Linked DNA regions of Rhinolophus ferrumequinum. The protein of the gene in region 4 purifies or fractionates together with the protein of the main gene of each other region. This does not show direct contact. Links are inferred from orthologs where the notes say so. Each region holds a gene or a part of one and is shown on either strand. Other genes may lie near its edges.

Region 1 (7,452 bases), on a different chromosome or scaffold from region 4:
CCTTTTCCAGGTACAGACCTCCTGCAGGTGGCAGCCCATGAATTTGGCCATGCGCTCGGGCTACAGCACACCACGGCTGCAAAGGCCCTTATGTCTCCTTTCTACACCTTCCGCTACCCGCCAAGCCTCAGCCCAGATGACCGAAGGGGCATTCAGCACCTATATGGCCGGCCCCGGCCGGCCCCCTCTTCTAAGCCCCCAGCCCTGGACCCCCAGGCTGGAGTGGACACCAACGAGATTGCACCACTGGAGGTGAGGCACAGGAGGGTGGGAAGACAGGAGGTGAGGCCCTGCCCCAGCTACCCCCACCTGACTGGCCTCTGTGGCTCCAATGTGGGCTCTTTCCCGGCCCTCTCCCCCACCTCCCCTGCCCCAGCCGGAAGCCCCACCAGATGCCTGCGAGATCTCCTTTGATGCGGTCTCCACCATCCGTGGGGAGCTCTTCTTCTTCAAGGCGGGCTTTGTGTGGCGGCTACGCGGGGGCCGGCTGCAGCCTGGCTACCCTGCGCTGGCCTCTCGCCACTGGCAGGGACTCCCCAGCCCCGTTGATGCAGCCTTCGAGGATGCCCAGGGCCACATCTGGTTCTTCAAGGGTGAGTGGGGGCAGGGGGTCATGCTCAGATTTCCAGGAGCCTGGAATGTCATGGCCAGGGGTAGGGACAGACAGACAAATATAGGCAGGTAGAGGGTGCCCTGAAAGCTTGGGGCCACGGGAGAACAAGGCTCATTCCTCTGGGCACAGCTGGGAGACTTCTGAAGGCAATGGCTCTCAAGGTGGGAGTAGAATAGAAAGTACTGCACAGTGGGTCACACATTGGCCTCCAGCTCAGGTGGTGAAGTGACTCACCTGAGGGTATAACTTGAAAAAGGCAGAGCAGGGATTTGATCTAGGTCTGGCGACTGTAAAGCCTGTGCTGTTAACTTACAACTGCATTAGGGAGCATTCCAGGTGGCAGGGACTTCATAAACAAGGGTCCACCTAAGACCTGTGGCAGGGACCAGGGCTGAGCCCCAGGGGGTGGTGAGCAGTCAAATGCCCGGGGAAGGAGTGGGAGCCCAGGTGCCTCTCTGCTGCTGAGAATTACCTTTCTACGTGGTACCTTCCAGAGCCTGTACTGCCCCAGCTTATCCCTGTTGGCTCCAACTTCCCCTGGGGTGGGGGCGCCAAGCAGGATAAGGAAACTGAGGCTGGGAAAGTCCTGGTGGTGGTGGCAGCTGGGCAGGGCCATTGCAGCCTCCCCTCTCCACAGGCGCTCAGTACTGGGTGTACGATGGTGAGAAGCCAGTCCTGGGGCCCGCCTCCCTCTCTGAGCTGGGCCTGCCAGGGTCCCCGGTCCACGCAGCCTTGGTCTGGGGCCCTGAGAAGAACAAGATCTACTTCTTCCGAGGCGGAGACTACTGGCGCTTCCACCCCAGCACCCGCCGTGTGGACAGCCCCGTGCCCCGCCGGGCAACCGATTGGCGAGGGGTACCCCCTGAGATTGACGCCGCCTTCCAGGATGCTGACGGTGCGTTGGTGATAGGGCAGCTGGTGGAAGGGGTGTAGCAGGTGCGTCTTCCTCCCTGTGGTGGCTGGATGTCAGCTCTTCGTCACAGGGCCTTTGTCCAGCCCCCTCCCCATCCAGCCTCCTCCTTGTACCAGCGCTCGGTTATACCTTCCATGTTGTAGATGAGGAGCTTGAGGCCCAGACAGGAGCAAGGACTTGCCCAGGCCCCAGCCATGGCTGGTAAAATAATAACCACTGCACACACGACTGACAATGCTCCCGGCACCTAAGCTCCCTACCTGTCTCATGCAATTCTCTGACGTAGCACCTGTTAGGAACCCAGTTTGCAGAAGAGCAAACAGATTCAGGTGATGAGGTCCCTAGCCAGGGCCACCCAAGTGGATAGTGGGTAACCAGGAACCCCCACCCAGGCAGTCCCTGCTGAGCTGTCCAGCCTCCTATAATCTCCAAGGACTAGACTGGGGACTCATAGTCCATTGCCCTCACCTGTGCCCCCTTCCCCCTTTGCTTCTGTGCTTTCCCACACTGGGACCTGCTGGGAAAGCTGTCCTGTGGTGGTCTCAGGCTCTGGGGCTCCAGGTTGCCTCTATCACCCTCCATAACTCAAGATACCCATCGGTATCTGGCTGGTGGGTGTGGGAATAAAGTGAGGTAGAGGGAGGGGTGAAGAGGGAAACAGGACTTGCCTTCCTGAGATGTTGGAATTGGACGTCTGAGGCTCTCAGCAGCTGTCAGGCTGGGTCGTAGCCTAGTCCAGACTCTGGGCAGGACTCCCCCAAGGGAATGGAGCTTCTGGAAGGGCCGTCCTAAGGCCTGCAGGTTTCAAGGAACTCAGTGGTGGCCAAGCCTGCCCACCCGGACCTCCCCGTGCCCATCCCTAGGCATAGCCTGGTGAGCAGGTGAGAGGCCCGGTGTCCACTCACCCAGGCCTGACCCTCTTCTCTCCTCAGGTTACGCCTACTTCCTGCGTGGCCTCCTCTACTGGAAGTTTGACCCAGTGAAGGTGAAGGCCCTGGAGGGCTTTCCCCGCCTCGTGGGCCCCGACTTCTTTGGCTGTACAGAGCCTGCCAACACTTTCCACTAACCACTGCTTGGATGCCCTCAGGGCCCCTCACCCCTGCCAGGCCACTGACGTTGCCTAGAGACCCATGGCCATCTTTGTGGCTGTGAGCACCAGGCATAGGACAGAGCCTGTGGCTCCTCAGGGGGGTGGGGAGGGGTGGCTCCCACCATGACAAGTGCAGGAAGGGCCACGCAGGTCGTGGTCACCTGCCAGCAACTGTCTCAGACTGAGCAGGGAGGCTTTGGCATCAAGGGTGAGGGTGGTCTTGGACCGGTTCCACCCTACCTGTGCAGGTCACGGTCAAACCCGGCTGCCTTCGCTCTCCATCTTCGTCCCTCAGGAAAGGACCTCAGCAGGGCTGAGGGAGCTGGAGCCCTTGCTCTGTCCCTGATATGAGGTCCCTGCAGGGTGCTGGCACATGGATCCCGGGGCCACGTAGCCTTCTGCCCTTCCCTGAGAAGTCATTTCTGGGTAGGTGCTTGGAACTGGCTGCCTTCAGTTGGTGATCCTGGAGATCTGTTCCCCAAGATCCAGGCCAGAAGGTCTAGAGTCATCTGGGGACAGGGGTGCTCACTGCTGGAGACCCAGGGCCCTGGAGGCCCCAACATACCTCAATCCTGTCATGGGCCGAATCCTCTCCAGCCTTCATCCCAGCACTGAGACCCTCCAAAGCCATGTAAATGTGTGTACAGTGTGTACAAAGCATTTTCTTTCTTTTTTTTTTTTACGGAGAACTGTCATTAAACAGTCATTTTCTACCTGCCTGCCTGGGGTGTCTCTGTGATTGTGAGTCTAGGATGGGAGCTGTACCAGGGAAGTGGGAGACCCGGCTTGGGACCTGTTCTGTCCTCGGAACCAGGGTGGCAGTCCACCCCACCCCCAAGTCTCTGGTCTTTGGCGCTGGGTACTCTGTGTAGGGCCCCTCCTGCCCCATTCCTCCATCTCGTCTGTCTAGATGCGTGTAGTGCCTTCGTACTTGGTTCCCTGCTTCCCCGGCTTGCCCCTCAGATCATCCTCCCCTAAGCAGTGGTCACTTTATCTGATCTTCCAGGCCCAGCCCCTATCCCGTTGTCGTCAGGATACAGAACAAAACTCATGTTTACAACAGCTGACGCTTCCTAACAAGTGTCTCCTTGCCTGCCACCCAGCCCGGTGTATCTCCTTTACAGCTGCAATTTTTATTCGAAATTTATATGAAATCGGCAGCTGTGGGCCGGTTTTGACCTACTGCATTGTTCAACGGGAAACGTGGATGCTTTGATGCTTTCATTAATGTCATTCCCCACTCCCACAGGGCAGGGCTCTCTAGTTGCACTGCAGGGCTCGGCTTGTTGTCCGTACAAAGTGCAGAGTTAAGGACGGAATGGAGAAGGTTCCCTCCCTTCCAACACTCATCTGACGCACCAGCCAAACCAAATACCACCCAGATTGGAATCCTGCCAAGCCGTGTAGTCTTGGCCCATGCTAACACCGCCCTGTGTTGTCGTTCTGCCCATTCCTACAGCTGCAGGAACAGCTGCGGGCCGAGAATTGGGATATCTAGGAGTCCTCTTATCTGCTCAACTGCACCGTTTTTTCAGGGTGGGGAAACTGAGGCACACCTACTACTGGCCTCCTCACACCCTGCAGAGCTCACTTTGTTCCTCTTCCATTGCGTTGAGTTCCAGTCCTAGCTGTAGGACTGGGAACGCCAACGCCTGAGTCAGGGCCTCGATTGCTATTTCCACCTGAGAAGTCTTCCTTGGTACCGAGACTTGGGAGGAAGCCTGGGAGGAAGAGAAACGGATTTAGGCTCCTTTAAGGGACCCACGGGAGCGCGCCTTGGCCTTTTGTTTGGGTGGCGGTAGCGCGCGCGTCGGCGTCAACGCCCGCGCATGCGCACAGAGGGAGGCCTGGTCGTCGTCGCTGCGGCTGCTGAGGAGCCCGGCGGCGGCCGCGGCGGCGCGAGTACTTGGCCCGGACCGCCCTTTGCTTCCCGACTTCGGCTCCCTCGACTTGGCACGCCCCAGCGCCGCCTCAGCCCTCCCGATCCCTCGCAGCCCGGCTTTGGCTGCCTGCCTCCACCGCCGCAATGATGATGATGGCGCTGAGCAAGACCTTCGGGCAGAAGCCCGTCAAGTTCCAGCTAGAGGACGACGGCGAGTTCTACATGATCGGCTCTGAGGTAGCCCGCGGCGCGTCCTCGCCCTCCCGGGCCCCGGCCCCGCGGGAGCCTCAGGGCAGGTCTGCGCGTCGGGAACGCGCGTCTCCATTCATCGCGGCGAGGGGGTGCGCGCGCACGCGCGACGGGATGTGGCTTAGCAGGGCGTGGCCGGCAGGCCCCGCCCCGCGCTCCTCTGCGATTCTGGGTTTACTTAGCCATTTTGTGGTGGTGGGAACGTACCCTGTCGCCAGAACTAGGGCTCCCCGAGGGGCTGCTGGTTTCGTGCTGAGTTGGTACAACTCCAGACAGACGCAGACAAACTGGGTGTTACGGTTAGCCCCTGCGAAACACCCCGTTGGGGGTGATAATGTTGGAAATATCACGTGCGCCCCTCCCCCATTGCTACATCTGGGATCCTGAAATCGCCGGTTGTAAACATGGGGCTTAGTGAGGGCTCATCCTCATTGTGTTCGTTGCCTTTGAGGTGGGCAGGAGGTGTTTTGATCTTTGTTTACCAGGGAGGAAATAGGTTGGGAGGAGAATATTTGCTTTTGGGTGGATAAGGCCATCCTATTTCATTTGGGTGGATAAGGCCCCAGGTCCTGAGCTAGCTCTCAACAATTCAGAAGCAATTGACACTGTGGATATCTTGGACTAACTGAATTATTACAGGAGAAAGAGCCTAAAGATTTTTAATCCTGAACTAGAACTGATAGCACTTTGTTGAATCAGCTGGACCACTGACAGGAGGAAAACTTTTCAATGGTAGTTTGTACTAAGTATATTAAGTTTTTGCAGATTGCCTCAAACTAGCCCCTTTGGGTCTAAAGGCCATCCCCAGGTAGTGTATACTCCTTTTTTTTTTTTTTAATTATGGATATATAACTCAGATGTGCATATACCAAGCAGTAGAGTCTCTCATGTAATGAGGTAAGTGCTAATCTTGGAGAGCTAAATAAGTCCCAAAATGCCAAGCGCTGCCTTTCCCTGTAGTACTTTAAAGTATCAGACACCAACATTTCATTCCTGATTTTACAATTTTTGTTGTTTTTCTTCACAGCTGATCATAGCGTGAATGAATTACGCCTCATGATGGTCACACTGAGGCAATCACCCTGTGATTCCTGGCCAGTTATATCAAATTATGAGGCCAACATTGTCAGCATCAGAACTTGAGTGTTACCATTTTTCACCAATTTTTATTAAACAAAAAGGGCAGGATGCAATAATTTTTTCACATTATCCCGTAAATGCTGCTCTTCAAAGATAGCCATGCTGGGGAAGTGGAGTCAGTGCGTGTCTATCTGCCGTGGCTCAGAATGGTCCTCATCAGCCTAAGTGCAGGATATAGAAGACAGCTGAGTTTTAGTACGTGATAATGGGCAGATCGTTTAAATAAATCTTTACCTGGTCTAATGGGCAAGAAAAGCAATCAATTTGGTTTCGATTCTGAGTATGTGGTACCTCTGAAAAGCAAGCTTTCATTTATTAGGTGGAGCAAATTGAGAAGAAGCATGCAGCCAGGTGGGAAGAAGTCAGGAGGCCTGGTTCCAGCTCTGTTCTGCCTCCTTGTCACTTTTCTCATGTGTATAATGAGATGCTTAGACTAGATGACCTCTGAGATTTTCTCTGTAACACATTTTAGCTTCTAGAAAGTTATCTGCAGTCTTCTCTTTCAGCCCTGTTGAGTGAGACCATTGTCCTGCGACCGAGCCAGTAGAGACCTAGATGGGAGAAGGGAGAGGAGGTTTGCTTTCTGGAGCTTGGCTTAACAATTGTCAGACTTTTGGAGGTCTGGGAAAGGTTCAAGATCAGAATGCTGTCTATTGATGTCCAGTCGTTCCTGTGATAGCATTGGGTGCACGGCCCCCAGGCCCCTTCCCTTTGGGCAACAGGCCACTCAGAGAGGTGGGCCAGCCATAGCATCACACCCAGTGCCGTGGAGTGGCTTTGGGAAGACATCCGCAGTTGCAGTAAGTGTGTGTGACTGTTCTCCCGCCATCTGCAGGTAGCTGCATTCACCAAGCCAGAGTCATAGACCTGAGAGGACCTAGGGTATCCCCAAGTCCAACCTTCATTTCAGGCAAAAACTGGTTCAGGGAAAACCCAGGAAGGCAAACCCTGGTCTCCTCTATTCTGAAGGGGCCTTGGGAAGGCTCTAGGAGTCCCGGAGCTCCCCAGGACCTTCAAGGTAGTAGTGGGGGACACTATTGTTAATGTCTTTTCAAAACCTAATGGAAACTATACGTTTACCCTTGGATGGTAATGACACTCAAGCCAAATAACCGACAGGGGTCTGTGCCTTCTGTGTGGAGCACGATTGACTGGCTATGGTCACCTCTCACGCTGTTCAGCAGCTCTGGTTGTCGATCATGGAAATCTTTGATTCATGAAAAATGGAGAAATATTTTTATTAAATAAGTATACTATGTTGCGTAGGTAAATGGGACAATAATAGAAGTGGTCCTTTGTGTGGTCAACTTCAAAGTTGCTGTGCATTTGACAGATGAGTAAGGAGAGCCAGACTGGGGAAGTGATTCCTGGTCACAGGTGGAGACATCACCTGGCACCCAGTCAACTGGCTGTCTCCTGCCCTGTGATTCACATGGTCATTTTGGAAAAGTCAGTGAGACAATGAGGTTTCTTTATAAAAAACTTTAGGACGAGATTTTTTTTCTTTCCATTAAGGAAGTCATACTTTGAGTATTTGGTTCAAGCAAACTGAAGCTATTGTTTGG
Region 2 (7,846 bases), on a different chromosome or scaffold from region 4:
CTCCAGAAGCCCCTGGTGCTGTTCAGCTCACCCACACCTTTATCCCGTCAGTAGTCCTCCATGGCAAGGAATGGTGGCAATAAAATGTGACAATAAATACCTGGGCTTGTCCTTTGTTTTTCTTTAGTACTTTTCCACCCCAAACTCTCCATCCTGAAGAAATGGAATAAAAATTAGCACGTAAGTAATCCTGAACCCCAAGTCTATTTAATCTGCATTCATAGAAAACTAAAGTGACAGGCAAAAGAAAGTTATAATATTAAAACCAAGCTGTATTTCTGATCTTTGGTTGTTTTTCATCTTTGTGAGGTTGAAGTCTTAAAAAAAAAAAAAATCAAGATTAGACAAAAACCTGTCAGTAATGAAAATCTCTCCTACCCAGGGGGCAGCTGCTGGTCCAACATCATCATGAAGCCACAAAGCTAAATGAAAATAGGACAGTCTCCACACGTGTAGAGCACGCCCCAAGTACAGAGACCAACACTGAGCGTTGGAGGCGTGGCGCTTCCTAGTCACAGAGCCTGGGCCAGACACTTCATCTCTTCCTAAACCTTCATTTGCTCCCAGATCGATTCCAGATAATCAGAAGAGGTCGTTGCGGTTCAAGGCTTGAGATGGTTGTGAATGATGATAATGGCAGCAAAACTTCCACGGTGCTTTCAACGTCCCAGGCTCTATTCTAAACTCTTTCCAAGTGCACCTCATGTCATCTTCACACAAAGTCCCTCACATGTCACTCAAACAGGACTTCCTAACTCCCTCCGGGATAGGCACTCACCAAGTTCACTGTACAGATGGAGGCACAGCAAGAAGGTCAAGTAACTAGCCCAGGACACTTGCCTGCGTGGTGGAGCCAGGCTGTGAACTGGGGACAGTGACGTGTTCCTGACCACTGTGTCATGCAGCCTTTCCAGAACAGGGTGATGCTTGAGCAAATGCTCTTGGTGTTAAACCCAGGTTTGGTCACTTTGGCTGAGTGACGTGGGATAAGCTCCTTAACTTCTCCCTGCTGTATCACCCGCTAGGAAATGAGGATGATTCTAAGGACAGTACCTACCTCACAGTGTTGAGAATCAAAAACAGGAGACCCTTAGAAGCACATGCTTAGCTGTCAACACACGTGAACCACTGTTACTTTCGTGCTGACTTCACCATACTGTGTGGAAGTGTCAGTTCCAGTCTACTCCCTAAGTGGGCATTCCCGCTGCAAGGGTGGTCAGCTAGCATTTAGCCAGACAGGCCACTCCCTCCTCGAGTGCCTCTCCAGGCTAAGCAACAGGTCAGGGGACCTCTGCTGTCACCAGCTAGGGGCCTGTTAGACTGAAGACCTACTGAATCCAGCATCGCAGTCAGGAGCCCCGGGAATCTGTGTTTTAACAAGCTCTCCACATGGTCTTCTACATGTTAAGTGTAATTGCTCTCGAGGTGTTCAGATACTTCAACTACTGTTCTCATCAAAACGGGAGTCTGCAATGAGTCTTCACTGGTGAAATCAGTGGCACTGAAGACATGTGAACTGGCCAAGATATTCCAGACACGGCCCGTGCTCAGTGAAGTCCGTCAGCACGATTCCTGCAGAGCCCTGGGTCCTGCCCTAGGGTTGGAGTTGTCACCGCCTGCTGTAGATGCGAGAGCAACAGAAACCTGCAGCTGGAATCCCTTAGGTCCTGCCTGCGGAAACTTTTCTACCAAGGTATGGCTGGGTCTGCTGAGAAGGAAGACGGCTAGGTCTTCATTTAAGGAGTAAGTCTTATGAAACCTCTTTGTACCTGTCTGTCCAACACTTGGCAAAACTGAATCTGAGATTTGCTTTCATTAGTAGTAATGAGCTGGTAATAAGGCTGAACGGGAGGACGTGACAAACTTTCACCCCGTGCAAACGTTCTCCAGCTATTTACTAAAGAGATTCCATGAGATTCAAGTTATTTCGCAACACCAACCATTAAACAGAAAGGCTCTTTCTCCCTAGATTCAAGCCAAGTTCCAAGTACACAGAATCTCAAGGACAGTTAGTATTCCAAGTCAAACAAATAACAGTCAATACGAGTGTTCTAGCGCAGGGCACTGTTCCAAGAACTTCACAAGCACTCACATATATAACTGTCACATTTGCACCAAGTAGATATTTTTGTCATCATCCTCCCATTTTACAGATAAAGAAACTGACACATAGCCTGGCTAAAACAACAGGTCCAAGCTGACACGGCTATTTTATGGCCTGCTGGGATGCCAACCCAGGCAGGGGCATTTTTAACCACTACGCATCTGTCTTCAGGATTCTGTTTTGATAAGTAATTCTGTTTGGAAGAAGTAATTTAACTTATTGGTTCAAGGGAACTCGTAATGTTTTAGTTCCTATTAGGCGAACAGGTATTATTTTCCAAAGAGAGCAGGGACAGCATTTCAAGCTCTAGGAAGACACTATTCTGTTCACACTCTTAACTGTAAATATTCAGAAAGGGGAAATGACTCCTACCCGTGGATGTCTTGTAGGTAAGCGTGGACATTTGCACCAGCGGGGCATCCTCGAAGGGTTTGTTGTACTGCAGGAGAGAAAGGGGCGCCCTATCAGGTCCGAGGGTCGCAAGTAGCCACTGACCCGCGACAGCACGAGGCTGGAAGTCTGGGAACCTCCCCACTCCTTCCCCTGCCCCCCCCCACTCTAAATCCTGCCTCCTCTCTCCTCATCTCCAGGCCCTAAACCCACCTTCCCCGTTCCAGGCCTCCCCACCCTGTCTCCACCTTCCCTCCCCGCCGCTCTTCTCCTTTCCCCAGTCCCCGACGCCGTCTTCCCCTTCCCCGCCGGCCTCGCGCCCCTCCCAGCGGGCCGGTGGGGGCCGCACCTTTTCTAGCAACTGCTGCATGTGACGCTGGAAGCGGCGGCGGCTGTCCCTGAGCTTCTGCAGCAGTGCATCCTCCCCTAGCACCTCGTCTTTCATGGCGCGCGGAGACCCAAACCCCGACTCCCGCAGGAAACGGGACTGGGAGCTTCGCCCCGCGCCCCAGTTCAAATAGGGACTCCGCTCTTCCTGGCCGCCCCTCGGGCTTTCCATTGGCTGGCGCTGAGAGGCTGGGCGCTGATTGGGCCTTTCAAACATAGGCGCCGGAGTTCCCGCAGCCGCTCGGCTCCGAAGTAGTGGGCGGGGTGCGCCGCCGCACATGCGCACGGGAGTGGCGCGGTAGTCCCGTCGGTTGCCGGTTAATGGCGAGAGTCCTGTGAAGTCCGTATCATTTCCCGGGTTGTGCACAGGAGATGCCCGGGTGACCTGCGCCGGGACTCGCCGCCGAGTGGGGGGCGGCCCCTCACCCAAACGTCGCCCCGCGCCCTCCCCGGAGCCGGCTCCGCCACCCCGCCCGCCTTGGGCCCTCGCGCTGTCACGAGAGCAGCCGGGGGGAGGGGGGGGGAGGTAGGGGGGGAGGGGGGGGAGGTAGGGGGGGAGGGGGAGGGGCACAAGAAAGAGACCCCCCAAATTACAAATACAAAAGGAGGCAGGAAAGGGAACATACGTTTAGAAAGAAATATCGTAAACGTTTGAGCATCCAGGAAAATATAATTTTTTATTCTCTTGGTACACCTTTTTCGTATATATATTTTTATTGCGCACTCAGACTCTTCGTTGATATTAATGTTGTAATGTTTTCTCTAAAGTATAGAAAGAGAATGCAGTCTTTCCTCGAGTGTGGTTGGTCGAGTTTACGAAGTACATTTTAGAGAAGTTTTATTCAGCTTCATAACTTAGTCATATTCATGTGTTGATGCTGATACAATTACCATATAGTACGTGACATAAGAAGAGCATAACTGAGCACCATTAGGTCCCTAGCTGGGGCTCTTCATCTTCGCTCAGCTTGCGCCCCAATCCTCTCATGCCATCCAGCAGAAATTGGGGGTAAGGGAGGTGAGAAGAACTCCGGGGCTCACGTAGTGGAGTGTCCAGAAAATGTATTGTAATGGACTCAGAGATGGGCCACCCAGAGCCGCCTTCAAGACACCGCAGCTGCTGGTGGCTGTCGGCAGGCACCTTCTCAGGTGCAGAGGACCCCTCACCCCCGGTCGTGCAGCCCCAAATCCAGCGGCTGATCCAGGTGGGAATATGAAGACAGGGTTATTTCAGATTCCGCCTGGAATCTGCCGAGGCAACCTGTCCAGTCTCCATTCTTTCCCAGCCGCCGAACCGAAGGGCACTCCCTAGTTAACATCCTGCACACTAACTCTGTCACATTCTGCCACCTGGAGAACCCAGCCTGTAACGAGGACCTGATGGTACACATTCCGTTTGTAGCTGTCCAATTTTCATGAGTCAGCTGAGCTTTTCCCCTCCTTCCCTCTAGGGAGTGTTCAGGAACTTTACCTGCTTTTCCTTTCACTCTGTTGGCACACTCAGGTTGTTTTTCAAACACGTGACTGTCACATTTAGAGACTTGACATCTTGGATAGGGTTTTCCTTATCGTCTCTTTTAATTCTTGGAAAACTTTCTCTTTCATGACTAACAAGCGAGATAGTGATACTTTTCAAAATTGGCTCTCCTACACCTAGAAAGCCACTCTCAGGATCCAGGGCTTCACTGAGTGTCCAAGGACCTGCCTCTATCCTAAGGAATCATGCTGGTTCAGGAGAAGGCATGAGGGTCCAAAAACATACTCTCTTTGGCAATCCCCTCTAAACCAACGTGCACTGGCCCTTGTTCTTTAGGCCTGCTGGCCTCCCAGTCCTCTCTGACTGGCTTTCCCCATCCCATGGGCCAAAGTCATGGCCCAACGACGGAAGGAGGAGTCCTGCAGGATGCTCCCAATTTGACACCATTCCCTACAAACACCCTCCCCTGACCCCCACAGACACCTATAGCAGCCTAACATGTGACCTCAGGAACCCAGACCTGCTATGCAAACTCCCCTTCCACCACTCCTCACCCCCATATGACAGGGAAGGATCCCAAGTGAACTCCTTCCCTGGTAGTGGAAGTGGCTGGTGTAGCCCCTCTGCGTCTCAAGGGGTTTCCGGGGGCAGCAGAGATGAGGAAGTGGTCAGCTCTGCTGCAGGATCTCCATTTCGGGCTGAGCCTGCGCAGTGTCCTCTGCTGGCATGGCCAGAATTTTCACCCCTTAAAGTGCTGCTTAAAATTATGATTACACATAGGAAATCTTTCTCGCGGGAATTATTTTATGTCTGCTCTCATAAAATGTGCCTGCATTTTATACAACTTTATATAACAAATGAGGATTTATTCTGCATAGAATTGCCATGTACATAATTTTATGTTGGCAAGGTGTGGAAATGTCACCACCTCTCTGTGGTTGGAGAAGCACAGCTTTGGGCCGTTCCCAGCGTTTACAAAAACTTCTCGCTATGTGACAGTGAAAACGTGAGTCTGAGATCGTGGCAAGTATTAAGCCCCATCTGTTAGGCCGCCAAGAAAAGGGTTCACTTTCTTCTGTCATTCTAGGGCTGATGGAAACAAAGGGACTGTGAAATAGCTGAAAAACAATTAACTTTCCAAAAGGTGTCAGTCCAAGCTCACAAAACATGTTTATTCTTTGATTTACTGAGTCTACTTTTTGAGATCTATCCTAAGTAATTAAGTAATTAAGAATGTTGGCAAGGATTTAGCTGTAAGATTTTTAGTGAAGCACTGTTTATAAAGTCCAATCCTAGAAAGAAGGTTGAGTAAATGGTGATACATATCTGTGTTCCATTAACTACAGTTTTGAAAAATTATATTTATTGGCATCAAAAACATGATTTTTTTCTTAGAATAAATGGAGGTTACAAACATGTATTATATATCTGCCTTTAAAAAATATGCGTTGTATGTTTTAACAATCCGAGTATGTATTTATCAAAATGTTTCTGGTGTTATCGCTGGATGACGGATTAGTTTTAGTATTCCAGTAGTTTTCCTTAGCTTCATTTTCTAGAATGAATTGTATCCCGCGATTGTGAGTGTGCATTTCTCATGTGATATGTAACACAGCAGAGCCGATCATGTATTTTACCTTGCCTCTACAAAATTAGAGACCATTTACCTAAATAGGACACACATGGTTCCAGACATTCTAAAACCGCTGTCATACAGTTGAACAACGTTTTATCATAATGATACCTCTCCTCCCAGCTTTTACCCAGAAATGTGTTTTTTTCCTGGGAAAAGTAGGGCTCCAGCTTTCTTTGGTGATGTTCCTGCCTCAGTTTCATGTGGTGGGAAATTGCTTTTTATTCTTCACCTTAGGCTTTTTGCTCTACAGATACACTTTTAGGGTCATGATTAATGTGTTTTAATGGGCTATCCATTTTAAAAATCAATGAAAAGAATTTACATTAAAAATAGAAGGCAATTAGATAGATTTGGATGACCTATTTTTAATCAGTCCCATTATTTATGGATCTGAAAACTCTCAGGACCTCTTTCTCTGGAGCAAAGATCGGCTCTTCCATTATTATGTGTGAATAACTTTACAACAGGAGGCACCAGGTTAATTGGTAATTTGCAAAATACTTTTCAAAAAAATTTACCTACTTTGGAAATGTCCTGGGATTGTCCAGTCCTTTCTTCTTTCCTCAACCCATTGTAGTTCCTTCTTACCGCCCATGGCTTATTGGAGTTAATTTAAAAAGTACAGAAGGCAACTGCTGTGTTTTTGGAAAAGTTTTGGTGCATCCAGTCCTTACTTAAAATTAGCTTTTACAGTAATAGTGTTACATCTTCTCTCAACTATCTTTACCTTTTAATACTCAACTCCTATCACTATTGCTTCTAATGTTCTTATTGCAAGAAATAAGAATAATTTCTGTGTCTCTGTCATTTATCACAATTATTTCTTAACATTATTATAAAATGTACAGAATTAAAAAAAATTTTTTTAAGGAATTCTCACTTGTTTTCTTATTTTATTTATTTTTTTGTTTTCTTATTTTAAATGTCTTGCTTATATACCAGATTTTTTTCCTGTTGCTGAATGGGATATATATTTTACAACTTTTAATGAATTTTCTTCATTCTATAATTTTGAATGAATTTGACAGAAAAAAAAACAACTCCCATTTCAATACCTAATCCTTCTACCTTGAAGAGAGATTAGCATTTGAATTGGTAGACTGAGTAAAGCAGGTTACCCTCCCCAAGGTGGGTGGGCATCATTGCATGCATTGAGAGCCTTCCTAGAACAAAAAGATGGAGGGAGAATTTGCTGTCTCTGCCTGACTGAGTGAGTTTGGACTTTTCCTGCTCTTGGACTGGGACTTAAACGATCAGCCCTCCTGGTTCTCAGGTCATCAGACTCAGACTGGAACTACACCACCAGCTTTCCTGGGTCTCCAGCTTGCAGTGTGGGCTGACCGTGGACTTCTCGGCCTCCATCATGACGTGAGCCAGTTCCTTACATCTCTTTTTATATTTGTTGAGGAGTTTTTAAGGTCCAAAATATGGTCAGTCTTGGTGATGGTGCATTTGAAAAGAAGGTGTATTCTGCTGTCGTGTGTCAATGAAGTCAAGTTGTTTGGTTGTGTTGTTCAGGCCTTTCATATCTTTATTGATTTTCAAAAGAATTCTATCAATTACTGAGGAAAGGGTTTTGAGTTTTCCAACTAAATTGTGGATTTGTTTATTTCTTCATTCAATGCTACAAGTTTTTGCTTCCTATATAAAACTCTGCTGTTATCCTCATAGGGTTTTTATGTCTTCTTAGTGAATGGATCACTTTTTCATTTTATAATGTCTTTCTTTGTCTCGGATATTCTTGTTCTGAAGTCTAATTTGTCTGTTATTAATATAACCATTCCATCTTAGTTTTGATTAGAGTTTAACTGGTATATCCTTTTCTATTCCTTTTAAAAAACTTACTGATGTC
Region 3 (7,283 bases), on a different chromosome or scaffold from region 4:
AAACCTTACTAATAGGAAGCTGTGACCCTGACTTCTTATATAAAGTTATAGCATTAATACTGTCTAGCGTTGCTTTATGAAGAGAATCAAGTCACGTGCACTGGAGACAATGGTGATAAAAATCAAAGCAGGATTAGTTTTTAGGAGACACAAAGGAAAATGCTGGCCCTTAGGATATCCAATGCTCATTTAGAAGAGATAAAGGCCCTGTTAGGGCCCTCTCGGAACAGGCTGGAGCCCTACCTTGGTTCTGTACTAAGCTAGCATAAAGCTTAATGTTTAGAGACTGCTCATTACCAATTCAACAAAATCAAGACTTTTTAGTTGTTCCATTTTTGAATCAAAGTATTAGGGCAAGTGTGTCAGCGAACACAACACACCACAAACTCCAACTACCCATTAAGAAATTCCTAATTTTAAAGTTTGGAGCCCTGAAATCCCACTGACAGGCTGATGGACCAAAGGGGTAGGAGGAGCCCAAAACACAATTTGAACAAATTAAAAACGAAACAAAAAAAAAAGCCGAGGACTTTCTGGAATGGAGGTATTCCCTAAAAGCAGTTTTTCCCCATATACCCTCCTCTGCAATCCTAATCTAACCGGAATAATTCTCACCTTTCTCCACATGCCTTTTCGTTTTTCTCTTTAGTTTAACTACCCGATGTAGAAATGTAATGTGCTTTTAGTGTTGCTGCCTCAAACCTTTTTTGGGAAGTCGCTAGTTAACAAAGCAGAAACTTTTAAGACTTAGGCCAAGACAGAAAAAAGTTATACTACGTAACTAAATGAATTGTTACATGTTTCAGATAAAGCACAAATCAAGGGCAGGAACTGTTACCCACAGGACTAAGAAAGCCAGATTTCAGATATCAAAAACTAAACAGACAAAATTAATATTTTAAATGGTTTTTTAAAGGCGTGCTAATTCAATGGCAAGTAAGATAAGAGAAACAAGTCTGATTACATTTTCTGACCTTTTCCCTTCTCACAAAAGTCGTTTGGGGAGTAAATTTTCATTTTTTAATCCTAGGCTCCTTATTCTAGTGCTGTTTCAAAGAGAATTAAAGTAATACCATAATGAAGAGGTCATTTCAACCTCGGGGAGTTTTAAACTTGTACGTTGGCGGGCGGCCCGGTGGCTCAAGCGGTTAGAGCTCCATGCTCCTAACTCGGAAGGCTGCTGGTTCGACTCCCGCAAGGGATGGTGGGCTGTGCCCCCTGCAACTAGAAATGGCAACTAGACCTGGGGCTGAGCTGCGCCCTCCACAACTAAGACAGAAAGGACAACAACTTGACTTGGAAAAAAGTCCTGGAAGTACACACTGTTCCCCAATAAAGTCCTGTTCCCCTTCCCCAATAAAAAAAATCTTAAAAAAAAAACCCACAAAAAACAAAACTTGTACCTTGGCATCAAGTTCTTGGCATCAAGTTCCATGACTGGACTACAAGCATTCTGCCAGTTAGTAACAGAATTAGGATCCAGCCCCAGAGATCTGCCTACTATTCATGTATTCGACAAATCTGTATTGAGCACCTACTGTGTGCCTGGCACTATTTTAGGTGCTTAGGGTACATCAGTGAATAAAACAGACAAACATCCCTGCCCTGGAGAGTTAATTCACACTGTGATACACACACACTTACCATAAACCTTGACAATAATACGATCACTACATTTTTATATATGGTCCTTTCCTTTACTATAAATGTGATTTTTAAAAAGTATACATATCTTCTAACACACACTTTCTTCTATGTAAGCAAGTAAGCTCTTATCAAGGCCACATCAACCCAGCCCTGGGGATTCCAAGGCTTAAAAGGGACAAGCTCTCACAGAAACCTCTGACAGCACCTTTTCAGGCTGGAAACTTCATTCAACGCCAGTTTCCAAAACTTAAAGGCACCGGGTGGGGGATTTTTCTCTTCAAAGACGTCAGGGCAGCGAACCCGGAGGAACAGACCACACAGTGAATGCCGTCCTCCTACGCACGCAGTTTGTTCGTTCACCTCGGCTCCTTTCCTCATCCTCACCCCTCTAGCCTTAGATTACTCCGTTTACAATCTTACATTTCACCCGTAAAAACTGGCTCTCAATATTCCACCCGCGCGGCACTAACGTCCTTCCAAATCCCTTCCTCATACCCGCCCCCGAAACACTTTCTCAGTAGTCACTTTTTACCTAAATAATTTTGTCCCACTTTTCCTACGGTAACAGGCATGTCCCAAATACAACACCTTGCTTTTGCTTCACGGCGCTTTCCCTTTGATCCCCAGGAGAATCCCGGAGTGGGCAGGGGTTGGCGCGAGACCAAATTTGCAGAGCAGCAGCCTCGTAACTCAGGACTGAGGCTGGTGAGGCTCGCGGGGCGCCCAGGGCGCAAAACCTCAGGAGGATTCCGCTTGGGCTCGGTCCCGAGTGAGCGTCCCCTACACTTCGCACCTCAGGACCTCACTCACCTCACCCTAGTCCCGACCCTGTTTTTACTGACACCCTTTCCTCCACACCCCCCAAAGTCATCGCAAGCCGAGCACCCGTGTCTGGCCCTCAGGGTGCACAGCCCGAGGTCCCTGGGAGTCCACCTCGCTAAGGGCCCCCGCTGGTGCCACCGCCCACCCGCGCCCTCCATAAGCCAGGGCTCCCGCCCACCCGGCCCACCCCGCCCTCTAACGGGATTCCCCGTCCCCGGGCCCGCCCCCGCCGCTCCTCCTCCTGGACACACCGCCCTCCCGGCCTCAGAAGCGTTCTCGCCAGGGGCTCTCTCCCCTGGTCGCCCCCTTTCCCCAAGTCCTCGGAAGCGGGTGTGGGCGCCCCGCTAACCCCGGCCAGGCAGGCAGTGTGCCCCTCCGCTTCCTCCCAATTCCCTGACCCCTTTGCCTCTCCTTCTTTCAGGTCCCGGGTGGCGAGGTGCCGAGGCCCGGCCCCAAAGCCCGGCCCGGGCTTGTTTACTCACTCACCCTCCATCCCGAGCCGCAGGGACCCGCCGCTAGGACGCCTGCGCGCCGCGGCCCCGCCCCCGCGCCGCGGCCCCGCCCCGCGCCTCCACCGGCGCGTGCGCACTGCGCCGCCCGCCCTGCAGGTTGGGCCACCTGAGATTCCTTTTTCACACGTCTGTCATTTGGCACCAACACCCCCCCCTCCCCCGAACTCAGAAGTCCGAGGTGGTGCAGCCCGAGCCCGATGGTTTCCAAGGCGGCGCTATCAGGGGACAGGAAGAGCTCTTTCGAAACTTCGAGAAGCCACGAATATCTTCTTAAAGACCTTATCCAGGGTTGTACCATCCTCACATGCCGGTGACAAGGCACATCTCACTTCAGTATTTGAAGCCAACTTGGAACCCCTTCATACCGATCCCTCACACCTACCAATACCCTTAAAGACTCATATGGGCTCTAAGTAACCCTTCTTGCTTGATTTACACCTGACTCCCCCATTTCTGTCAATAGTTTTTCTAGTTACCTAGATTCAAATTAGCCTTGTATCAAAGGATCTCCTCAGAAGATACCTAGAAGTTACAAACGCAACTAACTTTACAGGAGAGAAATTTGGCAGACATCATCTTGATCAAGTGATCAACATTAACATCGCTAGTGATGAGATATTTTTATTAGATTGGGTACCTCTCAAGATGGTGCAATGAGGGCACAAAATCACATTTGTGGTATTCTTGAAAAAAACGCATAAGCTGAATTAAATCATGAGGAAACATTAGACAAATCCAAACTAAGGGGCAACCTACAAAATAACTGACCAGTATCTTCAAAAAATGGCATGATCGTGAAAGAGAAAAGGTGAGGAACTGTACCAGGTAGGGGGAGACGTGACAACTAAATGTAACGTGTGATCCTGGATTGAGTCCTGGTCCAGAAAAAGGATACCGGTGGGATAATGAAATTAGAATACAGTCCGTAGATTAGTTAATAATATTTTATCAATCTTAATTCCTGGTTTTGGCAATTATACTTCCTCAACGTTTAAGAAAGTTGGATGAATTGTCTACAGGAACTCTCTACCATTTGCATCTCTTTTGTAAATCTGAAATTATTTCAAACTATAAAGTTAAAAAATTAAAACTTAAAATACAAAGCTTTACCTTAAATTTATCTCCAACTGCCTTCTAGATCACTGCTTCTCAAAATTGGCTCACATTGAAAATAACCTGAGGAGCTTTAATAACTGATGCCTTCCTCCTACTCCCAGAGGGCCTGATTAATTGGCCTGGAGAATGCCCTGGGCTTCACCAGTTCTAAGAGCATCTCAGATAATTCCACTGTGTGACCAAGTTTGAGAACCATTATACCACATAAATAACTGTTGGGGAAAAAAAAGAACGCGCGATATCTAAGGAGAGATGTTCAGAAGATCTGAATGTCAGGACTGAGACTGGAGAGAAATCTGGGCACCATTGACATAGTGATGGTAACTAACACCATGGCAGTGGACAACATTGCTTTAGGAGAGTATGCCAAGTGACAAGAGAAGAGATACAAAGAAATGTTGCAATAAAAAAGAAAATATGGTTATAGAAATATTTTGAGGTGGAAAAGAAGAAGGAAGGTGAGGAAACTTATGTCAAAGTTGTAGATCAGAGCCCTGAAGCCCAGCTCAAGCTCCACGTCTTCATTAAGCCTTCCAGCCCTCCCGGGTCTCCCGTGCTTCAACTCTAGGACACTTTGCACTCACTACCATGCTGTATATCTTTTTCATGTCCACCACGACAACTTGGCATAGGACTAATCCTTGTTCACTGGAAGATTATAAAAACAACCTTCCACATTGCCAATAAGCATTGGGTTCTTGGGGAAATTTTGTCTGTCAACTGGTTCTTCCTCATTGTGATGAGATGGTTTTTCTGAGACCAGGCTCTTTCTTAGCTAACCATGGTCCATGCGAAACTATCAGCCAATCTTTGTTTGGCCAGCTGTTCCTCTACAACTTTTTCTTTTCCAACCCTTTAGGTCTTTGTCCTATAAATTCGTAGAAAAACTGTTGGCAAGTGGTCAGCAACTGGACCTCTGAAAAACAGTACCATTACCTCTGCCCCACTCCTTCCAGCCCCACCCCACCCCGCCAGGCAGTTAATAGGAGAAAGGAATAACTTTGTCACTCCTGGCTTCCAGTTGGTCATTTTGCTCTTAAATTGGAGGCCTTTGGGGCCGAAAGAAACTGGACAAAGTGTGCTGAGTAGCCTAATAGAGCTGGTTCTTTGTGAAAGTTCCCTAATGCGGAAAAATAAAATTATGTGTTTAATTTCTGAAACCTGATGCCTGATTTGCCTTGGCAGCCATTCTCCTGGGCTTGGCAGAGAGTCCGGCAACACTAGTATACTGATTAATACCAGCTCAGCTTGCTCCCTGGAGAAAAGTATTATTTATTTGACCATTTTCTTAAATCCTTTTTAATTTGTGTGTATTTTAGCATGATCTTATTGGCTTTAACATGTTGTATCTCTGACCACTGGCGCTAATGAACCCGTAGGGAAGACTGTTCTGCTCTGTGCGTTCACATTCCCAGCACAAAGCAAGATTTTGTTCTACCCGGTGATTAGAAACGACATGTCACGCGTTCTGTTCCTTCTGGGGCAGGCAAGTTCTAAGTGTACTTTTGTCCCGCGCTGGTCTTCAGGCCACTGATAGAAAGGGAAGGAGATAATGCTTCCCAGAATTCAAACAGAACTTTCTGCACTATTCCTTCCTCCCTGACAACCTTCCTCGCTTCCTTCCAGCCCCCTTTGGATGGTGACCCCTTGACTCATTCTGCCCCTCCCATGTAAAGCCCACAGGGATATCAAATAGCATTTCTCTGAGGGGATGCAGAGGACTGAGGAAAGGTTGGGGCCCCAGACAGTCCCTGACAGGGAAGTGTAAACACAGCTGTGGAGATGGGAGCAAACCATCCTCCCTCCCCCAGTTCCCACCCAGAAGCAAGGAAGGCCACCCTGCTGTGGGGAAACAAACAACAAAACAAAGCGAAGCACAACCTAAAAGCCTGTATAAAGATCACCAGAAACTGGGGCTGCTGCTTAGGACTTGGTGGGGCCAGCTCAAGTGCCAGACCCCTCCCTGAAGACTTAGAGGTAAAGGCAGCTCCAAAGCAAGTTGGGGCCTGGACGTTACTGAGCCTGGATACATGGCTCAATGTTTGCCTCTCCACTCCCGGACATTTTGTCCTCTGATCGCAAAAACACAGCTTTCCACCCCCAGGTACTTAGCTCCTGACCCCTAGTGGCTCAGGGATCATAATAATGCATTCGATTCAGCAAGTAACAACAGGTCCACAATAAACCCTTGTCCATGGCTGTTATAAGTTTAAACTCCGAACCTCCCAGCGAGAATATTAGAAAGGGCCTCCTTAGCCTTTGTTAATTACAAAATAAATAATTCCAGTAGGAAGGGACTTTCTTTTTTGGGGATCACTGGGGTGGGAGCTATGCCTTGCTTTGTACATACTCTGAAAGCTCCAACCCCACAGCTAGGGCGGTGCTGCCCATTTCTTGCTCTCTCGGCACAGTTAATGTAGGGCCTTGATCCCACAGTGGGACACGCCTTTGGCACGGCCCTGCCTGGGAAATAACCCTGATTGGCTGGACAGCTAATGAGCTGTGCTTCCTTTCTGGCCATCAGGCTTCTCAACTGTAAAACTGCAGAACTAGAAAAATGATAATGGCCTTCAAATACTGACCACTCATTATGTGCCTGGCAGTGTGCGTAAGTGCTTTAAAATGGGTCATCTCATGTCATATGAAGTCAATAATATTCTCATCCTCATTTTACAGCTGAGGAAACTAGGGTTTAAAGGGATTCTAGAACTGGCCCCAAATCACCCAGCTGGTAAACGGTGTGGCCAGGATTTAAGCCCAGTCATTCTGACCCCCAAACCCACGCTCTGAACCACTCTACTTGACCTCTTCCTTTCTCTGAGGTCTTCTAGCTCTGACATCATGATTCTGGATCCTCTCCATGGCTTTCTGCTCTCACCAGTGGTGCCAGAAAGAGAAATAAATGTGTTTGGGACTCAACTCCGCAAGTCCAGAAGAAAATAGCTCCTGAAAGGCAGGGGGCTCCTTACTTCCTCTGTACTGGAGATACCAATCAAAGCTGGACACTCGACAGACCGTCATATCAGCAGGAACAGCCTGTGTGGAAGACAAACAAATCCTAGCCAGACAGGAAAGGGGAGTGCCTCTTGGTTCTGTGACTTCCCCTTCTGTCTTCCCTGGCTTATCAGCAGGGTCCCATGCTTCTGATGCCATGGCCCTTTGAACCCCACTGTGGCTAGGATGGGT
Region 4 (7,694 bases):
CCTACATGCAAAGAATATATTCAGTTTGGAACATGTCATGTTTGGGAAGCCAATTAAGATACTCCAGAGGACACCAGTAGGCAGCTGAAAATTCAGGAAGAGCCTAGAATAGAAGTTGGCTCTAAGAGATAAGAGGAATTCCTCTGCATAGAGGTGATAGGCACCTACCGGATTCCCCCCAAAATAAGACCTACCCCGAAAATAAGCCCCAGTTAAGATTGTCAGCCAGAGAGATGCATTTAGTAGGTTGTGACGATGTTCCAGAAGATGACATGACTGTATTTGAATAAATGTAGATTGTTGTACATGAAAATATAAGACATCCCCTGAAAATACACCCTAATGCATCTTTTGGAGCAAAAATTAATATAAGACCTGGTTCTTATTTTCGGGGAAACACGGTATATCTTAAATAGAAAAAGTAGAGGAAAGAAAAGAGGGTTGTCAACATAAAACTGGGAATTCCTGCGTTTAGAAAGTTAAAGAACCAGAGGAAGTGAGGGAAGGTAGAAGAGGTTTGTAAAACTACATTTTTTAAAAAAAGGATACGAATAAACACAAAGGAAACACATACACAAATAATTAAACACTTGGCATTAGGGATGCTTACCAGCAATCCTCATCCTAAAAAAAAATTAACATTATTATGAGAATACCAAAAAAAAAAAAAAAAAAGGAGAAAGGAAAAAGTCAGGTATTTGGATCAATGTCAAACATTACAGAAAGATTTATTTACCTAGATCTGCTGAAGCAGAAAGTTACTAAAACGATAGCACAAACTTTAGCCTTGGGGAATTTAGTCCAATTCACTGCTTTCCAAACCCAGATAATCACTACATTACATGGGAAGCGTTTTAAACATATGGGTTCCAGAATAATTTCATAGGTATGGGGTAGTCATTATTCAGGAACCACTGGTCCAATATAATTCAGGACATGACTGTAAATCTGGAAACACAAACTATTTCTCATCAAGCACTCTGCCACAAGTTCCTAAATGGTTTGAATTACCATTGAGAACTCCTGACAGAAATGACTCCTTATCCTGAACTCAAGTAATTCTGATGATCAGTTGACTATGGTAACTCCCGGTCATGATCAAGTATCCAATTCTAAATTTCTAGTAACCACATTTTGCAAGTATCTTGACTTCTAAAGACCCGAGTTTGAAGGAATTTATTATTTACTACATATAAAATATAACTTTTAAATGTTTTTCTGAATAGCAAAAGTTTTATAATAGGAAATCCATTATTCCAACGGGCACACTGGTTTTGCTAAAACTTTATATTAATATCTAAATTCATCTTCATCTTTGCATTGTCACTTCCATATGGAAGCCTTTCCTGATATCCCAAGTTGAGGTAATTTTTCCTTCCTCTGATCATTTAATTCCCCCCCACCCCCGCCCACTTCCTGATCATTTAACTTTTGTCACGCTTAAATTTTTTACTGTTGTAACTTATACACATGCAGTCAAGGCGGGGAAGGTGTCTTACCTAAATTTGCATGTCCTAGGATGTGGCTCCTAGTATACTAAATATTTTATCTCCTCTATTAGAGGTAAGCTAGCCATGCTTAAGAAATATGTCATTTATCTCTCACCATGCCTAATTCCCTCATATGAAAACCATCCCACCTTCAGCTGTTAGTTCGAAGCATCCTAGGTATCTCGCTAAAACTACTCTGAGCACATATTACTACAATTATTAGTTTATACTTGCCTTCAACTAGACTGTGCTCTTTAAAGACAGGTACCATGTCATATTCATCTTTGTATTAACCAGCTACAACCAGTGACTGTGAGATTGATAGAACTGTACTCATCATAATACTTTCTGAAAACTGACAAGTTTTTATATTACTATTCGGTCCACTACGGTTATAATACGGCTATTCAATTCAGTAACAGAAAAAGAAAACAGCATGTTCTCTCTTATCAGGAAAATTACAAAGTAATTTTACATTGCCTACTTTTTGACCTAGAAAAAATGTCACCAATAGGTTTTGATCACGTGCCCTCTTCGGATGAATGTAGAAAGGAAAATAGGGAAAAATCAAAGTGAGACATCTACACCGAGGATACACCAAAATAACGTTCAGGAGATTCATTATCACCTGGTTACATCTGGAAGCCACTGCGCAGTTAAGCTGGGCCACTCCAGAGCATGGGTCATCACCAAATCGTAAAGAAAAGGGGTGTTCTTTTTCCATATTTTATACTCTTCGTTGATCACACGTTCTTCTACTGCGTCATCAAAGGCTGCTAAAAAATTAAAAACAAATGAAGTTAGCGAACATAATGGGAACCGAGTAAACACTTCCAAAGCTAACGGCACGGCTGCCGAGTCCTGATATGGAGCTCATCTGTCTAAATTACCCCTAGGAGGAGGCACCAACACGCTCTACATCTTTGCGGGTCGGAACTAATCTCAAGTCAGGTCGGCCAGACACTCCGTTAGCCGTTCGCGCGACGGCGCAGAGCCTCGGGGGCACGGACCCCTACGCCTCAAGTCTACCCAAAAGGCGAGGAGGCCCGAGCAGCGACCCTCGGGGATAGAGAGCGGTGCAGGGCGGACTGGGAGAGAGACGGACAAACCGACAGTGAACGTGAGGAGGGACCAAACACCCGCCAGGGCCCCCACCGCCAGCTTCACGCCGCTGCACCGGGCCTCCGCTCCAGAGAAGCTGGTGGGCCGTTATCCCGCCCCGCGGGGCGATTTCGTCTCACGCCTTCGATGGTGGGGATGGCACTCAGCAGAGTGGGGCCTGCCCTCACTGTTAGGCCATGTCGAAGCCGCGGCGCAAGCCCGGTACCACCCGCTTTCCTGAGGTAGCCTCACCTTCCTTGTCGGCCATGGCGGGCAGGCAAGCCAGGGGGATCCCGGGGTCGAGCGTTGCGGGAGGGGAGGGGAGGCTACGGGCGCTCGCTCTGCGCGCGCGGCCTCTATTGTTTCCTGCTGTCCCTGCGTGAGGGCGACTCGCGCACCTTCGCGCCAACACTGGCCAATCGGAGCGCACCGAACGGCGAGGTGGGCGGTGAATCCTCGTTCGCAACCTATCCAGACGCGCGGAGTCACTATCCGCGGGGCCGAGGCGCGCGCTCCGCTCCTGCCCCCCACGGCCCGGAGCTGACTTCCTTCGATTGAGCGCGCGCGCGCGGCGTTGGTGGGAGTGCGCCCGCCAGGGTCACGTGAGAGGCATAGTCCGCTCCCTCTTCGCGGCAGCCATTTTCTTAAAGGCTGTTCAGGGGATCACTTAAAAGTGCTCGGATGGGAAACTTAGGATGCTTTCGGGTCTAGTTATCAACTGAGGCGGCAAGTACAGGCCTCAATCACTCAGACCTAGAGGTGTCTAATTCACGTGTCCTTTACTCCCGGGTTCTCCAATTTGTTTCCTTACTCCTTAGATCATTGATGAAGTAAGCGTAGAAAATGGGGCCCCGGCTTTTTAAAAATGTGCTCCAAGTAGCGAAGCCTAACACGAAAGTCGTGGGGATAAAGTACGTTGGCGATAATGGAGTCCTGGTCCTTTAAGAGTACGTGCCAAGGGGTGGAGTCTAGAACGGAAGTTGTAAATCAGGGCCGAGGTCCGGCTGTTGAAGGGCGGAAGTAGAGTGTCCAATGCTGCAATCATGGCGCAGGAGGAGGAAGATGTTAGAGATTACAATTTGACTGAGGAGCAGAAGGCGACCAAGGCCAAGTATCCTCCAGTCAATCAGAAGTACGAGTGTGAGTAGGTGGCTCACTTCTCTTCTCTCTCCCAGAGGGACTTACGGCCTCGCTGTCCACTTTTTCGCATAGGGTACTTCAGGCGTGATCCCTTTTCTCCTTGTGGTGTAATTTCATTTGTACTTGGGGAATGCTGAAGAAAAAATCACCTCATCTGAGATTCGAGAGACCTGGGCTCCCAGTTTTATAGTCTCTTGAACTTTTTCCATATATGCCTAATCACATTTGTCTTGTGGGGATTCTGCTAGTATATTAATTCTGAACATAACCATGTTTTCAAGCGTTTGCGTGATTGTCACCCCCGTGTATCTCCAACAGTGGGATAGCGTGTGGCTAGATTAGAAAACTCGGGAAGCTAAGTAAGGGCCTTCTAATTTGGTGTTTTACTTGGATCTGTTAGTAAAATGACTTGGTTTTGCCATTTATTAGCTTAGTGACTTAGGCAAATCGTACATCTTCTCTTTGCATTTTATTTCCTTCATCTGAGGAAGAAATGAGATAATAAATTTGAAAGTATAGTGCGCATTCCTAAGTTCTATATAAACGTTATGCTCTCATCCCTAAAGGTCGCTGTGGTTTGGGGAACACAAATCGGACTGACTTCCCTGCTTAAAAATCTTCATTAATTTCCCATTGTCCTCTGTATAGAGACCAACTATTTACCAGAACATACTATACTCTGTACTGTCTGGACCCCGCATATATCTCCCTAACTCATTTTTCTCTCACTTAAAAACAATTTTTAAAAAAATTATTTAATAGGTAGTATATATAATTCAAAATTCAAAATGTAGAACAGGTGTGCAGTGAAAAGTAAGTTTTTCTTTCAACCCTCATCCCAAGCCACCTAGTCTTCCTCACTAGATCAGTCATCTTTACCATTTTCTTATGTGTACATGCAAAGATGTTATAGCATTTGCTTTATTTAACCAATTTCCAGTTGATGGACATTTGTGATATCTGTATTCTTTTGCAATTAGACACAATGCAGCAGTGAATATACTTGCACATCCATTGTTTTGTACATGTATTTGTACAAGTGTTTTTGTAGAAGAAATTTCTAAAAGTTAACATTGTTTTGTTAAAGGATATGGGCATTTTTAACTTCGAAGTTATTGCCAAATTGCTCTCCATTGAGGTTGTGCCAATTTATACACTCACTAGCATTGTATGAGTGTGCTTCTTCACACTTACCAATTTACTGTTTCACCATACTTTTTGGTCTTTTCCAGTTTGTTAAGTATCTTGTCATATTAATTGCATTTTTCTTATTATAAGTGAGGTTGAACATATTTTAGTAAGTTTGGAGCTATTTGTATTTCCTCTTCAGGGATGTGTATATTCATATATTTAACCCATTTTTCTGTTGGGTTGTTAGTCTTTTTTACTATGCAGAAACTTATGTAGTGAAATGTGTTAACACTTTTTATGACTTCTGGGATGTTATACATAGGAAGGCCTTACCCACTCTGAGATTGTAAAATAATTCTCTATTTATTGAAGTATAATATACGTAGAGAAGAGTTTACATATCATAAGTGAATTTTCACAAACTGAATACACCTGTATAAATAGTAACCAGATAGATAAACAGAATAGTACAGCATCCCAGAAGCCTCTCTCATGTTCCTTTCTAATCACCACCACTCTACTACTTCTCCATTAACCTGACTTCTAACATCGTAAATTAGCTATGCCTGTTTTTGTACATTATGTAAATGAATTATTGTGTATTCCTTTTGTGTTCAACTTTTTTTGCTCATATTTGTCAGAACTCATATTTTTGCTGATAGTTATAGATTGTTCCTTTTTTAAGAAAATTTTTATAAGTTTATTTGAACCAAAACTGACAACAGTTTCAGGAAAGCAAACATCTTAAATGCTCCTGGGTTATAGATTGTTCTTGCTTCTAGTATTTATGTTTGTTTGCTTTTTAACATTTAAATCTCAAATAGGTCAGGATTAGGGTAAGATAAAAATTAAGTATCTGATTTAATTATTTTCCAGATGACTTATGAGATGTTCTCACATTATTTATTCAACAATCTCTTTCCCCCTGTGATTGAAATTCCATAACTTTATCATATACAGAATTTCCCTACCTATATTTAGGTCTGTAGATAGACTTACTTTGGTCAGTGTTGCTCAAGCAGTAGTTGGCTGTAACCAGAAGTGTCTGGACGCTGATGGTAACCACTTTGAGCACCTCTTGTAATTGCAGAAGTCAAACGTGACTTGTATTCATCTTTTTTTATTGGTATATATTGAGTATTACAATTTTAATACAGTTTTTTCCTTTCTTAAAATGTGTATACATTTTTTGGCACTCTCTGTATATGTATATTTATTATACCACAAAAACATTCAGCAAAAAGCAGCAGTTAAGAATGAGATAAAACATAAACAATAGTTTAACTATTGTGCAGAGAAAACCTTTTGGCTCAAAAATCCTGTTAATATTTTTATGTTATTCTTCATGATTACATCTATGGAGATGACTATATACTTATATAAATTACATGAATCAATTTCCTAGTAACTGAATCTTTGCATTCCAGGAATAAACCCTACTTGTTCATACTGGATTCTGCTTGCCAACATTTTGTACAGAATCGTGTCGATGTAATGTTAGAGTAGTCTGTATTTTCTTCCAGCTTCATTTCTTGCCACTGACCACCCCAGTTCTACCACAGGTTTCCCTTGTTAAAAAAGCAACATTCAACTGAGCAAATTTGAAGACCTATTTGGCTTTCTTAAACATTTCAGCATCCCATCTAGCAAATAGAAGGGAGCTGTGAGAAGTTGTACAAAATAGAAGGTTTTTTTATAGGCAGAAACTGGCATGACAAAGTTATTAGCAAAAGAAAAGAAAAGAAAGGTTTGTTTCAGGCGGGGGAATCTTTCTTTGGGGGAAAGGTGGCACGGTCTTGTCAGGCAGATTACTTCACTAGTGTTGATCAGGAAATTCCATACTGATTGGTTTGAGGTCACATTCCTGGGTAAGGCTGAAATTACCCAGTTTGCTGTCCTAGAGGCAAGGGATTTCACCTTGGGCCTGTTTTTTTGTTTTAAACACCCTGTTGGCCTGGTTTTCCTTTCCGACTCAGATGTCATTTCATTTATTCATTCAGCAATGTATTTGAGAACTGGTTGTGTATCAGTTACTGAGCAGAAATTGGGAATAAAAGAATGAGCAAACAGATATAGATCACCCTTATTCTCTTGGCACTTAAAGTGTTAAGTATTGTTTCTTTTAGGAATTCTTACCTGAACCTCTTAGTCTAGGTTACCTTTATCTCTTATGCTCTCCTGTAAAAGCAGTTTTCAAAGTGTGGTCTGTAGACACCTGGGGTTCCCTAGACCCTGTCAGAGGATCTGTGATGTAAAAGCACTTTCATAATGATACTGAGACGTGCTCTTTTCACTGTGATGATGTTTACATTCCTGGTGCAAAAGCAATGGTAGGTAAAACACCATGCTCCTTAGCACAAATTGAGGTACTAGCACCAAACTGTACTGGTAGCTGTTGTATTCTTTACCACCATAAAATTAATTTAAAAAAGAAAAAGTCATTTTTACTTAAAAATGTTCTTCATGAATCGGTAAGAACTATTAATTTTATTAAATCTTGACTATTGAGTACAGACTTTTAAAATGTTCTTTGTAACAAAATGGGAAGTCTGTACAGAGTGTTTCTGCTGCGTGTCAAAGTATTGATGATTACATTGAGAGAAAGAACTTGTATAATTGAGTTGTGAGCTGCTTTTTTCCCACAGAACATCAATTTTTCTCAAAAGAATGATTAAAGACATACCATTGTTATTCAGACTTGAGTATTTGGCAGATATTCTCTTGAAAATAAAGTGATCTGTCACATCACTTTGGAAAATAACACTTTGTTGGCAATGGTAAAATTCAAGCTTTCAAGTGAAATTAGAATTTTGGAAAACTTGTGTCTGCTGT

Evidence for each region.
Region 1: the proteins of RBBP4 (region 4) and SMARCB1 purify together in Homo sapiens (affinity purification with mass spectrometry; 3 studies listed by BioGRID, with this or other methods). This does not show direct contact. The link is inferred for Rhinolophus ferrumequinum from reciprocal best matches to the Homo sapiens genes RBBP4 and SMARCB1.
Region 2: the proteins of RBBP4 (region 4) and HJURP purify together in Homo sapiens (affinity purification with mass spectrometry; 5 studies listed by BioGRID and IntAct, with this or other methods). This does not show direct contact. The link is inferred for Rhinolophus ferrumequinum from reciprocal best matches to the Homo sapiens genes RBBP4 and HJURP.
Region 3: the proteins of RBBP4 (region 4) and EZH1 purify together in Homo sapiens (affinity purification with mass spectrometry; 4 studies listed by BioGRID and IntAct, with this or other methods). This does not show direct contact. The link is inferred for Rhinolophus ferrumequinum from reciprocal best matches to the Homo sapiens genes RBBP4 and EZH1.

The regions. Positions count from the first base shown.
Region 1 is NC_046308.1:22,690,458-22,697,909, reverse strand, and holds the start of SMARCB1 (SWI/SNF-related matrix-associated actin-dependent regulator of chromatin subfamily B member 1), read left to right. Parts: upstream 1-4,438; 5' UTR 4,439-4,642; coding exon 4,643-4,735; intron 4,736-7,452. Other genes in the region: MMP11 (stromelysin-3), read left to right, coding at 11-252, 377-593, 1,251-1,508, 2,459-2,592.
Region 2 is NC_046291.1:5,347,186-5,355,031, reverse strand, and holds the start of HJURP (Holliday junction recognition protein), read right to left. Parts: upstream 3,016-7,846; 5' UTR 2,940-3,015; coding exon 2,844-2,939; intron 2,544-2,843; coding exon 2,477-2,543; intron 154-2,476; coding exon 101-153; intron 1-100. UniProt on the Homo sapiens protein: Centromeric protein that plays a central role in the incorporation and maintenance of histone H3-like variant CENPA at centromeres.
Region 3 is NC_046304.1:38,410,265-38,417,547, forward strand, and holds the start of EZH1 (histone-lysine N-methyltransferase EZH1), read right to left. Parts: upstream 3,013-7,283; 5' UTR 2,963-3,012; coding exon 2,956-2,962; intron 2,540-2,955; exon of another isoform or gene 2,236-2,539; intron 2,117-2,235; exon of another isoform or gene 1,853-2,116; intron 1,828-1,852; exon of another isoform or gene 1,404-1,827; intron 1-1,403.
Region 4 is NC_046292.1:22,351,811-22,359,504, reverse strand, and holds the start of RBBP4 (histone-binding protein RBBP4), read right to left. Parts: upstream 3,004-7,694; 5' UTR 2,860-3,003; coding exon 2,844-2,859; intron 2,742-2,843; exon of another isoform or gene 2,466-2,741; intron 2,267-2,465; coding exon 2,119-2,266; intron 1-2,118. Other genes in the region: ZBTB8OS (protein archease), read left to right, coding at 3,635-3,731. UniProt on the Homo sapiens protein: Core histone-binding subunit that may target chromatin assembly factors, chromatin remodeling factors and histone deacetylases to their histone substrates in a manner that is regulated by nucleosomal DNA.